2 linked regions of the Schizosaccharomyces pombe genome follow. Changing the gene in region 2 together with the main gene of any one other region gives a genetic interaction. Each region holds a gene or a part of one and is shown on either strand. Other genes may lie near its edges.

Region 1 (8,301 bases), on a different chromosome or scaffold from region 2:
AGAGTCAAATACTATGGTAAAAATGTGCTCCCAGAACATGATTCTAAAGGCCTCATTCGTCTTATGCTCGAAGCCTTTAAGGATAAGGTTCTTATTCTTTTGAGTATAGCTGCCGTAGTTTCGCTGGCATTAGGTTTATATCAAACGTTCGGGCAGCCTCCCACCCTTGATCCCATCACTGGAAAACCTGAACCTCGTGTCGAATGGGTGGAAGGCGTGGCTATTATGGCTGCAATCGTTATTGTTGTTACCGTGGGTGGTGTGAATGACTGGCAAAAAGAGCTTCAGTTTAAGAAGTTAAATGCGAAAGTTTCCAATTTTGATGTCCAGGTTCTTCGAGATGGTGCTGTTCATTCTACATCTGTTTTTGATCTAGTTGTTGGCGACGTCTTGTTTGTTGAAGCCGGCGATGTAGTTCCTGTGGATGGTGTGCTTATTGAATCGAATAATCTTGTTCTTGATGAATCCGCGATGACTGGTGAAACAGACAACATCAAGAAAGTAGATGCCAATACTGCCATTGAAAGAACATCGCCGGACGTCGAATATCGAAAGAATGCCGACCCATATTTGATTTCTGGTACTACTATTTTAGAAGGCAATGGTAAACTTTTGGTAACTGCTGTCGGTGTTAATTCATTTAACGGGCGTACAACCATGGCAATGCGTACAGAAGGGCAAGCCACTCCATTGCAACTTCGTCTTTCAAGAGTTGCTGATGCAATTGCAAAACTCGGTGGTGCTGCATCTGCTTTATTGTTTATCGTCCTACTTATTGAATTTTTGGTTCGCTTAAAATCCAATGACTCCTCTTCTAAGAACAAGGGTCAAGAGTTTTTGCAAATTCTCATTGTCTCAGTTACTTTGTTAGTCGTCGCCGTTCCCGAAGGTCTTCCTTTGGCAGTTACCTTGGCTTTGGCTTTTGCTACAAATCGCATGCAGAAAGATAATAACTTGGTCCGTCACTTACAAGCTTGTGAAACGATGGGAACAGCTACTAACATTTGCTCGGATAAAACTGGTACGTTAACCCAAAATCGAATGACTGTTGTTGCGGGTGGATTTGGCACAGATGTGTTGTTTTTTGATCATAATGATGAAACTCCTACCAACGTTGATCAGGGTTCCGATTCTTCAAAGTTCGAAGACGCTGGTGCTAGCGCATTCGCCTTTAAGCGCCTTTCCCCAGAACTTCGGGACTTAACTCTTTACAGTATTGCTGTCAATTCGACATGTCGACAGCTATTTGAGGATAATTCTGACACCCCAAGGTTTATAGGTTCTAAGACAGAAACAGCATTACTTGATATGTCAGTCAAAGAGCTGGGACTTACAAACGTCGATAGCATGCGTTCAAGCGTTGATATCAAGCAATTCTTCTCATTTTCCTCTGACCGCAAAGCATCTGGTGCTATATTTGAATACAAAGACAAGTATTACTTTGTAGTAAAAGGTATGCCGGAAAGAGTTTTGCAACAGTCTACATCAGTTATTACCAATGGCTCCCTTGACGAAGTTGAAGATATGCATTCTCATGCAGATTATTTTAAAGAAATGATCACTGGATATGCCAAAAGATCTCTTCGTACTTTAGGTTTATGCTATCGTGTGTTTGACTCTTGGCCTCCCAAAGATATTCCCACCAATGACGAGGATAGTTCTAATCCTTTGAAATGGGAAGACGCATTTACAGACATGACTTTCTTAGGATTTTTCGGTATCATGGACCCTATTCGGCCAGATGTACCTTTGGCTGTAAAGGTTTGCCAAGGTGCAGGGGTGACTGTTCGTATGGTTACTGGTGATAATATTGTTACTGCTAAGGCTATTGCTTCGCAGTGCGGAATTTACACAGAGGATGGAATATCCATGGAAGGACCGGAATTTCGATCTCTTTCTGATGAGAAACGCTTAGAAATCTTACCCAAATTAGATGTACTTGCACGCTCATCTCCTTTGGACAAACAGTTATTGATTGAAGGACTGCAGAAGCTTGGTAACGTAGTAGCGGTTACAGGTGATGGTACCAATGATGCGCCTGCACTAAAAAAAGCTAACGTCGGCTTTTCAATGGGTAAATCGGGAACCGAAGTTGCCAAGGAGGCGTCCGATATTATCCTTATGGACGACAACTTCTCGTCAATTGTGAAAGCAATTGCTTGGGGAAGAACCGTTAACGACGCTGTAAAAAAATTCCTGCAATTTCAAATTACCGTGAATATTACGGCTGTTTTCTTGACTATTATCTCTGCTGTTGCCTCGACTGACCAAAGCTCTGTTTTAACTGCTGTTCAGCTTTTGTGGGTTAATTTAATTATGGATACACTTGCTGCTCTTGCACTTGCCACTGACCCTCCTACTCCTGAAGTGTTAAAGAGGAAACCTGAGAAACCAGGTGCATCGCTTTTTACTTTTGACATGTGGAAAATGATTATTTGTCAATCTATGTACCAACTTGCTGTTACTTTGGTGCTACACTTTGCTGGTAATAGTATCTTCCATTACCCTTCCAATACTGCGGACATGAATACTATTGTTTTCAATACCTTTGTCTGGCTCCAGCTGTTTAACGAAATTAACAATCGGAGATTGGATAACAAGCTCAATATTTTTGAACGTATTAACCATAACTTCCTCTTTATTGCTATTTTCGTTATTGTTGCTGGTATCCAAGTTATAATTGTTTTTTTCGGAGGTGCCGCATTCTCCGTAAAAAGAATCGATGGTAAAGGATGGGCGATTTCCATCGTGTTTGGTGTTATCTCTATCCCACTTGGAGCCTTGATTCGTTGTGTACCAAACAATTTCCTAAGAAAGGTCCTTCCGGTTAAGACAATTGACACTGTTTTCTCTTGGATTCTAAATCCTAGGTTCCGTTCTAAGCGCCGTTCAACCGATCATGATGTTGAATCCCTTAGTCTTATCCCGTATGAACCCACATCTCCCAACGAAGTTATTGACTCTATTCGTCATTCCCTTGGCTTCGTTCAACGCATTAGAGGAGGAAGGATACGCCACCTACTCAACAACTCCAAATTTGATAAACAGATGGAAGCGCTTCCTGAACGTCTTCGTCCCCGTGTAAAACAGAGATTTATGAAGATCCGTTCACCTTCTGTTTCTTCAGCTACTAGCGTAGCTTTAATGATTCCTATCTCAACACTTGTTAGTGAAGCCAGCGGACGATTAGGTGGGCATGACATTTGGATTTCTCACAATCGCCAAGCTCTCGATAAAAAAAGCTCAAATGTTCATTAATTTAAGACGAATGTATGAGACAGAATAACAGTGATTCTATTATCGAATTTTTCTTTTTTATTTCCTTATTCTCGTTGGAAATCGCCTTCTTTTTCTATATTTGTTATCAATTAAAAGTTTGTTTCTTAGGTTTAAAAATTCCCTTTTTGTATAGAAAACGAGTCAGCTTTACCTTTTTCCTTATGTCTACTTTCTTTGTTTATCTTTATGAGTTACTTGGTTTTTGCCTATTAATGGTTTAGCCAGTTTGTTATATACCGCTTGAGCTTTAAGTTTTATGAATGAATAAAGAAAACTCCATTAATTAGAAACATGTTGTTTAACAGAAATATGAGGAAACAACGTACACGTATTTTGAAATAAAAAATGTAAACGTAACATAAAGTAAGGAATGAAATTATCGAATACTCTAGAATCAACGGAATCATCTAAAAGACAATGTGTGAGGATTAAGCATCAACACGGTTTGTTTAGTAGACTACAAAATTTTCAATTCTAAAACTCTTGGATAAAACTTGGGTATATGGTATATAATTAAGGACTTAGTTATCAAGGAGGAAAGGCTTGATGACATACTTGAAAACAGTCCTTGCATAAAGATGATAAGATTCAAAGAAAGAGAAGAAGAAAAAGAAGCTCTTTAAAAAGTAAATAAGTTATGATAATAAATAATAAAAGAAGAGCTCAACCTCATATTCAACAGAATATTTGCGTAAGAAAATTTATAAGAGCGTTCGTTAGTGACCATCATTTGTTAAAGAAGAAGACGGTTCTGATTGAAGGTCATCATCGTCCGTACGATTGACTGAGTATCGTTGACGGACGAGTTGATGAACAAAAATACTAGCCTTCAGGAACCTTTTTGAGGAGTATTTTTGGAAAAAGGCTTTGTGTTCTAGAGGCTTGTTATGATAATGAAGCATAATATACGCTATCTCCTTTAATTCATGCTCTTCATACCCACCAGAGCTTTCAACTAACTTTGGCGTCCATGGGCCGCGACGCAATAATCGGCGGCTCAAATACATTGCGGCAGCAGCAATTTTAGACATAGGATATCGTAATAAATCGTGGTCAAACAGATAAATTTCTGTTAGGTATTTCCCCAATGTCCTTGTTTGTGCATCATAACCTTCTGCTTGAGATATTTTGCGAAGAAAATTTAAAGGACTTGGATAGGACAAGTCAAAATTGAGAACATTTAACATATAACGTTCAGCGACACAGACATCTTCTACGGTAAAAGCACCATCAGTCATGTAAACAAAGTTTTGTATCGAAGGACACATAACCTCCTCATATTTGCTAGCGATGAGAAGAGCAGTAATGCCTGTTAATTGAAATTTAGACAAAGAGCATGAACGACGCGACAAGAATCGATCAATTATATTGACTGCCAAATAAAGGGTTTCGGGCATTAAACAAAAGTTGGAATGTATTTCCACCAACCATTCATTCAAAATTTCCCTCATTTTCCAGGTTAATTCTTTTTGTTGGTCCATATATTTTGGATTGGGAAGACACTTTAAATCCAGCTTTCTGATGTACTCAAATATTTCGGGTGCGTATTCCTCAGCCATCAAAGGATTGGAGGATAAATGATCATCAACATTAGAGACTCTGTCCTTTTGTAAAGTTTCTACAGATGGATCCGCATTTTTGCTATAAACTTTCAACTTTTTCACGAATTTAGATTCGACAGGTTTATCAGCTTCTTCATTTGTAGATAAATTAGATTCATCGAACGATCTTTTCGCTTTTTTCGTATCCTTCTCATCAGCATTATTTTTACCTACATTGGAAACATCAGATAGGACAGTTCGACGTGGCAGATTAATTTCAAAATTTGTAGATAATTTTGTCTTCTCAGTCCCTTTTGATAAAGCTTGTTTGCCAACAAGTGTGTTTTCATCTTGATAACTATGCTTATTGATTTTAGAACCAACAGGCTTTGAAATTGAATAGAGAGCCATATGAAATATGGATTGATAAATTACCCTTTTATCAACGTATAGAAATATATCTGATTGTTTGTAACCAAAAATGTCTTCTTTTTATTAAAATAAGGAAACTGTTTTTGGTAAATTAATCTCAATTGACAAGATGGATAAATTAGGGAAATTGAGCGATCGAGAAACAGAAAGCACTTATAGCGAATTTTTAAAGTTTCTCTTTTAAATGAGAATAAATCAATGGGTCCGAATTATTCTATTGTTGTTGATAGGAAGAAAGGGAAAGAAATCGTCCAAACATAAACAAATGAATTGTGTAAACAAACCAAACCAACCTACTGTTGTGGATATAAACGAAAAAAAAAAACAAGCAGATGTAATCAAAATTGAGAAAGAAAAAAAAGTAAAGATAAATTTTTTAACGTTCGATTCGAAAATGAATTTACCTCTTTGAGGTATGCAGAATTAACTCTTATAAAGCACAAGAGCGTAGTTTAAAGGGACAATGATTAACGAAGAGAATTAAAAAGAACACTTCTTTGTAATTAGTTTAGAAAAAGCAAAGTTGAAGGTTTGATAAACAAACGATGGATCAGAAAAAGCAGCACTAAGACGAACAATACAAGCAAATAAGTTTGATAGTTCGAATTTAAAAGAATAACAAATGTAGGTGTTATTTTTCCAGCAAGAAAAGCGAGTAAAACCTTTTCAGCTTGAGGGCGAGAGCAATGCTGAAAGGCTAAATAAATTGCAATTGGGAAGACTGTAGGATAGCAATTGTTGCACTAATATCGAAAGGGGACGATTAATTATGTTTTAATAAGATATAGTGTACTTGTTATAAGAGAAATGACTGTCTTTGGCAAGCGCCTCCTGTAAAAGAGTAGGACAATAAGCGAACCAGAACAAAGAAAACAAAGAAACTTAAAACGGTAAAGTACACAATAGAAACCGACACTTAGCAGCTGAAAAGTGTAAAAAATTAATTAAAAGAAAATAAGTACAGTAGAAATAAGATACTCCGGAGTAAAAACTAGCTTGACACTCAAAATACTGAAAGCTTAATTTACTATTGTTTACAGTTAAAACCAGCTCAACCTAGTATATGGAGCCTAAACTGATCCCTATAGCATGTATTTGAAAAAAGAAATTAGAAAGAAGGAATATTCAAAGAGAAAAGAAGAAACGCAAAAAGCAGCGACAACAAGAGAAGGACTTCAAGGTGGATCCAACCTTTGGTAGAGTCTTGTAAAAGGGAAATTACACTTGTACAAGTGCCTTTGAAGCCTTTCTTGTAACTCAACACAAGTCAAAGTGTCAGTGAAAAAGCAAAAGACAGGCATAGCAAGCATATAAAAGAAGTAAACGCGACGCGACGCGAGAAACGCGCTTTCGCGCAAGCTAAGTTGCGTGCACCTCGTTTTGGCGTGTTTTAGAGCGCGCGCTTTGGTGTAGCGTTTTGTATATTACAATTCACTATGCGCGTGCCGTCATTACATGCTACACAAACTAACGCAATTTGAATAGAATTAAAAAGGGAGAGTTCGCTAATACTTTATATCGCAGTTACACTATAATTCGCTATATGCTGAGCTTGGAAGGAATAATGTTGTTTGTCAAGAAACACAAGCATCTGTTAATAAAAGTTTGGTAAACGTCTCGTAACGTCGATAAGCCAGTACTTTATATAATCAAAGAAGAATTTTTAAATCATATCAGATAACCAATCGTAATGCTTTCTGTGAATTACACCTACCAAGACATTGTTCTGTGCAACAACATAAGCAAAATAAAACAGTATTCAGCAATAGCGCTTTAACATTAAATCTAATTTACGACATTTTTTTTAAAAAAAAAGTCAAGGAATAACAATAAGGCATAAATCACGACACTAATTTCCATTCTCTATGTCATTTGGATGGACATGAACATGAACATGATCGCTTTCAAATTGATATTGAGGTTGATCCAAAAAATAACTTCCGATAAAAATTATTTTTTCTTATAGAGCTCTTTTACATTATTTCCAACATTTTGTCATGAAAGGGCATGAACACAAAAAAGAGGAGAAACAGAATTTCAAAGCTTCATTAAAGAATATCAAGCGTACAGCAAAAAGATAATTGAATAACGTCTGATTGATATACATGGCCTGTGGTGTCAAGTTGACCAATAAACTAAAAAATGCACAAGACCGTGGTACGTTGTGCAAATTAATTTGCAATGTGGACTCAATCCTTTTTAGTAGTTTCCTCTTCACTATCCTTTGGCTGTTCAGGGGCCAAAGCATTTATTTCTTTTAGAATTTTGTGAAGCTCTCCTCTACAGACAAATTGTTAATACAGAAATGTTGACAAGGAGAAATAATTAAATATGAGAGAAAAAATGAGGGAGAGAACAATGTGGCATATATAGACGACGAATTAAAGACACTGATACACTAATAGTTGATTTTTATCCAATGCTTTAAAAGGGAAAGTTCATTTGAAGAAAGAGCGAAAATATAACAGGGTTTTTTTATCTTTAATATCAACTAGAGTGATTAAACAGTTGTAGAATCCTCCTTCATCATCTTTAACATTTCCTATGACACCTCCTCAATCCTCACCGTCTCTCTACCAAATAATAAAAATACAGTTTAAAACATTACTTACGATTTATGCATGGACGCCAAGATATCACTACCGCCCACGAATTCTCCGTTAATATAAAGTTGAGGAATCGTAGGCCAGTCGCTGAACTCCTTTATACCTTCACGTAGCTCATCATTACTCAAAACGTTGTACGTAACTAATTTATCGGAAGCAACGTTTTCTAATGAAAGAATTTGAATCGCCTTTAATGAAAATCCACACATTGGGCGGGTAGGTGTACCTTTCATGAATAAAACGATAGGATCCTCTTTGACGGCCTGTTCAAGAGCTTGACGAGTTTGTGTGGACAGCATGCGAAGTTGCATGGATATACTGGTTTTAGGAATCCAAAATCTAAACATCGAATTCATCTTGAATATGGATATTGTAAAGTGTTTATAATAAGGCAATTTTGAGCTTGAATGTCAACTCATTGATTCGCCGCAGATAAAAGTGTA
Region 2 (7,433 bases):
CTAGAATGCAAGTAGATCGTGCTCGAAAAGGAGAAGCTGCTTTAATTTGGGCCGTGAAAAGTTTACGGGATGGCACTATCGTAAGTGCCGATTCATCAGGTGCTGTTAAATTTTGGAATGGAAAATTCTTTACATTAAGCCAATCGTTCAAACTACATTTGGCTGATGCTTTGTGTTTGGGTGTTTCTGCTAACGGAGATATGGTATTTTCTTCAGGGATTGACAGGAAAACTATTCAGTACTCACGCGAAGGAGGTAAAAGAGAATGGGTCAGCAACAGTTTTAGAAGGTTCCATTCTCATGATGTTCGATGTATGGCCGTTTTTGAATGTAAAAGTTTGGATGTTCTTATTAGCGGTGGTATGGATATGATGCTTGCGGTAATTCCTGTTCGACAATTTAATCGCAAGAATCACAGGATGATATCTGCCGTTCCTCAACGCCCTCGCATGGCGGTCGCACCGAAAGCAAGGCTTTTTATGTTATGGAATGATCATGAAGTACTTCTCTGGAGAATTGGGTCTCCTGGCTATAGGTTTTTATTAAAAATTGTGTTGGCTGACGAAGAAAATATTTCACATGCAGCAATTTCTCCTGATGGGGAATTAATTGCAATTTCTTCCGTTTTGAGGACGAAGCTTTATCAATTACAGTATAGCGATGAAAATGTGAAAGTTGAAACAGTTGAGGACTCCTTCCTTTCAAATATTGGTGCTAGCCTGCTTAGTTTTACTGTAGATAAGAACAAGCTTATCCTTGTTAGTAACGATTCCGAGATATTTCTCATTGAATTAAGTCGACTGGATTCTCGTCAGCTAGAAGTTTTCGAGTTATCACAACCCACTAGCAAGAAAATTGCTCCTCGTCAGCGAAGCAATGTAAGCAGCATGTGTGATGGTATTTGCAGTATAGCGGTATCTTCGGATGGAGATTATTTTGCTGTTGCGGACACAGTTGGAAATATTTTCTGCTACTCCTTGTCAAATTTAACATATTCAGAGTTACCACGAGTTAACACTTATGTTCGTGCAATGGCTTTTCGTCCAGATGTACGAGGCCGTTTAGCTGTTGCTACGGCGGGAAATCAAGTTTATGAGTTTGATGTTCAATCCCGTAAATTATCTGAATGGTCAAAAAACAATTCTACAAATATGCCCAAAGAATTTTCGCAACTTCTAGATAAGGCATTCGGAGCATTTTTCGACTCTAAACATCCGAGTCGATTCTGGATTTGGTCAGCCAACTGGGTTTCATTTTTCGATCTTAATCTTCAATTACCAGCGCCTCGCGCTGCCGGAAAACGTAAAATTGAAATGAATGCAACAGTTGACGGGAATCTGAATGACAAAAAATTGGCGAATGCTAATTCGAACGGCATTTCAAATTATGGAACAGGGGATTCTAGGTGTTTCTGGATTACTCACAAATATCGACCAATGCTACTTGTAGGCTCTGTAGGAAACTCTGAATTGCTGGTAGTCGAACGACCAATCGCCGATATGTTGATGAGTAAATCAATGCCAGCAAGCTTTTATGAGCACAAATTTGGCTCGTAAATATGTATTATGTATGAAGATGGAGGAGTTTCTTCGTACTAAAAAAAACGAAGAGGTTTTAATATGTCATTTTACGTAAAAAAAATGTCTGGAATAGGGTGGTATTATTATGATTTTGTACAAAAAGGTCTTTTATTATAGGAGTTTATTTTATTTTTATTTTTTCCGATAAAAAGCATAGATTAGTTGCTAGTTAGTTTATCAATAAAACATTTCAAGGTGACACACCCATCCACAATATGATTATGGCAATGTAGCTGTGAATTTCCAAAGTCTGAGTTGTTTATTCCCATTATCGATTGGAGCATTATGCCTGTAATATGGTTTCACTTGATTCTAGGCAGATAGGCGTACAATTTTACGAACCCAAATTTTTTGATTAATAGACTTAACACGGCGAACTAAAATTTAACCGAACGCTATTTTTGTTACACCACATAATTAGAAAATTACTCGCATGAGGATAATTAAAAATACTCTGGTAAAATTAAAATTATTGTAGAAGACAGCTTGTATTTAAAGAGTAGCAATTACCATCTACAACTTATAAAGAAAACATATTCAAAGTAACAGAATCTTACAAAGGATATATATGCAAATGAAACGAAGAAAGCTCATACATGAACCCGTCTACGTTTCTAAACTTGATTACATTTGATATATTCAAAATAAAATAAAGAAGTGAAATAAGTGATTGACGTAAAAAATTATTTTCTTGCCGATGAGATTATACATTCGTTTGTTTATTGAAATTTGTTCACAACTTAGATAAATCTGTTTAGTAGTACCAGTTTTATGTACCCCCATTTAGTTACTACGATCCCACTTAAAATGTAATACAAACTGTCAGTACTAACCAGAAGAAGGACAATAGTACTAACGACTTAGACCCCCCACTTTGGTACAAAAACACCACCTGAATCAACAGCATGTAAAGTAGAAGTCATAGATTAGAAGCATGAGAACATTTCGTAGTGAAAATAAAACATTGCGTTGAGAAGCAATCTCGTTCAACTACCAAACATTTTTTTCCATTGAATAGAATAATGTTATGACCTTTAAGCCAAGCAATGCGTTTTTCAACGTTTTGGTTCTGTTATTTTCTATCCTACTTTTATCCGCACCACCAGGTGGAATTATCTGTGAAACTAGACGGCTCATAAATATCGTTATGTCACTGATTGCGAATCTATTTATCCATGCTAGTTATTCATGTTCATTCCCCACATTCTCCTCAAAAATTAATTATTTCATCGGAAATTAACTGACTTAAGTCTTGACTATTATTTACAATTTGTTTAATCCATATACTAAGTGATAAACATTTACACACAGTAATTGGGCTGCTTATTTCCTTCTGCTATGTAAAATAAAGATTGCGGTATATGCTATTGTGAAGAAAATCGATATTATTAATGTTAATCTATCTAGCTGTAGTTATAGCTGGATTGCACCAGCCATTTTGTTAATAACGTGATTTTCATAAAAAAAAAGCTGTAGATGATCGAACGGGTCAATATTTACATTCTTGAATAATTGATTTACCTCTGCTTCTTGTCCCCACTTTTTCTTACTTGCGTGCGCAATGTTAGCAGTACGTACATTTCACGATTTGGCCAATATGATTTACAGCAAGTAACTTATCAATTAACCGCTTTTGAAAATCAAAATTTTGTACTAGTTTCTTTGTTCAAGTTCTTTGATAGATGGCGTGCTATGAATGGAATAGTTTTGGGCTACGTCGTCACTTACATGATGTGCTTGACCCATTGAATTAATTGTGTGTTAGTACTTTACGCTTTCAGTACACATCGTTGGTATGGTAAATTTGTGAATCGGCCATACCAAGATGGAGATCACTTGAGGCTTAATTAATTCAAATCCGAAAATTCCGGTTGTTGTTACTAACAGTAGCTAGTTACGTTGCAGAAATTACGAGTTAGAATGGACATTGTACATTCACAATGTAAGGATACCGATTCGCGATATTGTCACTACACTATAAGATTTATCCTTATAAAGATATCGATTGCCCACCGTTTATAACCTTCCATAATTTATCTCTTTACCAGTTCCGCCTTGTTTTTTGTTACATTCTCTTTTCTTACCACACCATAATTGCTTTTGGTATACAAGCGACAACTTTATTTATTGCTTGGTACGAATCGTTCACAAATTCGATCTCTTAGTCGTATCCGTTTATCATTTTTTATAAAATAGTAGCTGACGGAACTGAATTGTTTTCTTTAAAAGAGTCTGTACCACTTACTTTTCTCCAGCTTTTGGTGTTCTTTTATAATTTCTGTCCTATCAAGGTTGCGGTAAATTAAATTGACTGCACTGTAAATGAATTCGAAAGTTTGAACAGCGTAACCAAATTTTGTTTTTCTTTTGCAATACATCGTTTGGTTTAATTGAAATTTATTTCCTTATTTTTGCTGCATATGGACATATTTTACTAAATATCTTTCTCTTCCTTTTATTTTTTTTTATTTTTTTTTTCTTTTTGGAATTAACCTTGTGTTTCTTTGTAATATTTTCATTAGTATGAATGCATTGTCTGCTTCTGAAATCCGTTAATCAAACTAAATAACTATTCACCGAACCTTTTTGGAAACATATATTTATCGCATCTAATTTCTTCCGCTTCATTTTGCATTCTTTTAATATTTATATAGCCTTTTTTCACTATATATTATTGGGTTCTTTCGTCTTGGCTTTTTACAAGTCCTTTGCAATTTACTCTTTCGATTCCTTTATATTACCCCTTCCATTATTGATATCTCTTTAGCGTCCTTGAAAACCCAGTAATTTTTCCCTTTTTTTTAATCGTCACCTCACTCTTTTTTTTTCTTCCTTTTTAAATCGTCCCTTAATTTTCCGCCGTTGTATCGCTTTCAGTTAGTTAAACACTATTCGCTTTGACCACTACCTCTTAACAAGCAATCTGAGCCTGTTTATGTCCAATTATTTTTTCTTCAGTATCATTTTTTTAATAATTCACTGAACTTTGAGCTGCAACTTCATCGACTGTGAAGAGCTTTTCTACTCTTTCCTTCTCATTATTTTCAAATACCTGTCTACCCAGTATGTTAGTTTCTTCCAATGAGGAACAACTTACTGCTCATACTCCCACTTCATCTTCAAGTATAGAACCTAAAATATTAGCTGCCTGTTCATATTCTCTATCAGTGGGCCCTTGCTCTTTAGCTGTTTCACCAAAAGGCGTTAATTCCAAATCTCCCTCTCTTAAAAATGAGACTGCATTTGTTGTCGACTCTGTTAGCACATTGTCAGCGGAATCTAGCGCCTTACTTTATAACACTCAATCCTCTTTACTCACTGGTTTATCAATGAACGGGTATTTAGGTGAGTACCAGGAAGACATTATCCATCATCTGATTACTAGAGAGAAAAATTTTTTGCTGAATGTCCATCTTTCTAATCAGCAACCGGAACTCAGATGGTCAATGCGACCTGCACTCGTTAATTTTATTGTAGAAATACATAATGGATTCGACTTGTCTATTGATACTCTTCCGCTTAGTATTTCCCTCATGGATTCATATGTCTCGAGGAGAGTGGTATACTGCAAACACATTCAGTTAGTAGCATGTGTTTGTCTTTGGATTGCCAGTAAATTTCATGAAACAGAAGACCGTGTTCCATTATTGCAAGAACTGAAGTTAGCTTGTAAAAACATCTATGCTGAGGATTTATTTATTCGTATGGAACGCCACATACTTGATACTCTTGATTGGGATATCTCAATCCCTACACCAGCTTCGTATATTCCTGTTTTAGACCCGATTTTTTTCTTAGTACTTGATGCATCAATGTTTGTACCTAATTTATTCAAATTTCCCGCTTCCAAAATCGCATGTTCAGTTATGAACATCGTAAACGAACATGTCGGATCGTTTCTTTTGACACACCCTTCTATGGAATCCTATCGCAAAGATGATAACTTTTTGTGGCCTGAAGACTTGGATACCGTAACATCATATATGGAAAACATGTCAAAGAGGTATGCTAATGAGGAATGTACTGATTTACTGTTTTCCTCACTAGGCCGTATTTCTAGTATTTTAGCAAAGAAATATCCGGAACAATGCGCAATGGCTGCCTGGTGCAACATGACTGAAAAGGATACTGAGCGTACTTTGTAACTTTAACATTGCTTCTTCTTCGATTTATATATATTGCAATGCTTCTAGACAAACATGTAATGGAGATATAATTTCAAAATTATATATTTACTTGAGAAAAGTAAGTGTATAGTGATGTAATTTTTTTTAAGAATTTTTATAAAATTCATTATATTAATCAATTAAACTACTCTGTTATGTTCTTTGTTTTCCTAAACCGGTTTGCAACTATGCTCATATGACATTATACCGTTTGTATATATTTTTGTTATTTATTTATATGATACTTACTTAGTTTGCAAAAAGAAAAGAGAAAGTTCATAAGAAACCCCATATTACAGATTGAAGCAATTTAGGTCTTTAATAGATTTAATTTCTAAATTTGATTCTTCACCCATTAAAAGTAGTATCAGTGTTTCCCAATTTTAACAATGATACTGTGATTAAACAAAATACATCTCAATTCGAATAGAGACTTCTAAATATAAGTTAAAGCACGATAGTTGTTTTCTTAAGATGCAAGCAAAATTGATTAACTTTTCTTTCAAAAGAAAAATTAACCATGCATATGATTTTTTAGAAATGAAAGAATATTTAGTGAGTTTTTTTTAATTTTCTCCACTTGTTTATACCTTGCTCAAAGGACGCACGATTAAGGCCATCAGGAACTAAACAGAATGTAACACCAAGTCTTTCAACCTCTCTGTTCCTAGACTCATCATCAAAAAACACCATTTCTCGATAGTCAATTCCAGATTCGTTGTGGATCTCTTTGAAGTGATCCATTTTACTACCTATTTCACAATAACTAGTTAGCAATATGATTATTGATATTTTCTGTATTGACAAAAATGTATTAAAAGACATACCTGGCCAAGCTTTTACATAAGTGAAAAATTCGATAGCCGGCTTAAGACTTCCATCTATTGGTACCTTCATCAAATTCAATGCTTGTTTCGCATACTTGGGAGCACAAGTACGGCTAGCAACGCACAAAGTAACTTTTTGGTTCCTTAGCTCTTGTAAAATTCCAGTTATATCTGAGTAAAAACAAATCTCTGTGCCATATTTGTCAATCAAAACGCCTGGGTCATTTTTGGAAGGCTTAAATGGTGCAGTGACTGTGAAACTTTGTTAGAAAATAAAACATAAAGTAGATCAAAGTAAAAGATTTAATACCATGGGTATCTATCCAAAGAGGCCACAGAGTGTAGTCTAAGTCAAAAACAACGCATTTTGGGAATTCGATATTTTTTACCATATTTGCTTGATATTTTATGGTATTGGTTATTAGGTTCGTAAACAACAAGAATGAAAGTCTTTTTAAGAGTGATTTCAAGTTCAAAAGATTGACCGTAACGCTTTCAAGAAGTTTACTGCCAGTTTGCTAGTTCGATAAGATTGACACAATTTTAGTTGGTACGTTGATGTAATCCAATTTTTTTTAAAGAAAAATATATATATTCAACTTTTTTTGCATTAGTAATGAAAAAAACTTAGGAAACAAATGTTTGAATTTCATTAACTTTTATGAATTATTATTATTTAATTTAACTGTCTTTGATATTCTCAATAAACAAATAAACTGATACCAAAAAACACTGTGTAAATACCATGTTTTATAAAATTGATCAAAACTGTATACTACCAAATTACAGTCAATTAATCGTTGTCATTAACATATTCATTTAAACAATAAATTTTTTTACTGCATTTAATACATTTATAT

Evidence for each region. A genetic interaction does not mean that the proteins touch.
Region 1: of puc1 (region 2) and cig2, changing one enhances a phenotype caused by changing the other (phenotypic enhancement), as found in Schizosaccharomyces pombe (3 studies listed by BioGRID, with this or other methods).

Annotation. Positions count from the first base shown.
Region 1 is NC_003424.3:2,708,010-2,716,310, reverse strand, and holds cig2 (G1/S-specific B-type cyclin Cig2), read right to left. Parts: upstream 6,530-8,301; 5' UTR 5,232-6,529; coding exon 3,996-5,231; 3' UTR 3,259-3,995; downstream 1-3,258. Other genes in the region: P2 type calcium transporting P-type ATPase Pmc1, read left to right, coding at 1-3,258; mitochondrial [2Fe-2S] cluster assembly and transfer glutaredoxin Grx5, read right to left, coding at 7,442-7,532, 7,865-8,214. UniProt on the Schizosaccharomyces pombe protein: Essential for the control of the cell cycle at the G2/M and G1/S (mitosis) transition. Interacts with the cdc2 protein kinase to form MPF. Interaction with res2 promotes the phosphorylation of res1 and inhibits MBF-dependent gene transcription.
Region 2 is NC_003423.3:3,697,865-3,705,297, reverse strand, and holds puc1 (G1 cyclin Puc1), read left to right. Parts: upstream 1-3,608; 5' UTR 3,609-4,645; coding exon 4,646-5,725; 3' UTR 5,726-6,100; downstream 6,101-7,433. Other genes in the region: U3 snoRNP protein Utp4, read left to right, coding at 1-1,556; SPOM_SPBP8B7.31 (acid phosphatase), read right to left, coding at 6,261-6,325, 6,379-6,498, 6,574-6,825, 6,884-6,965.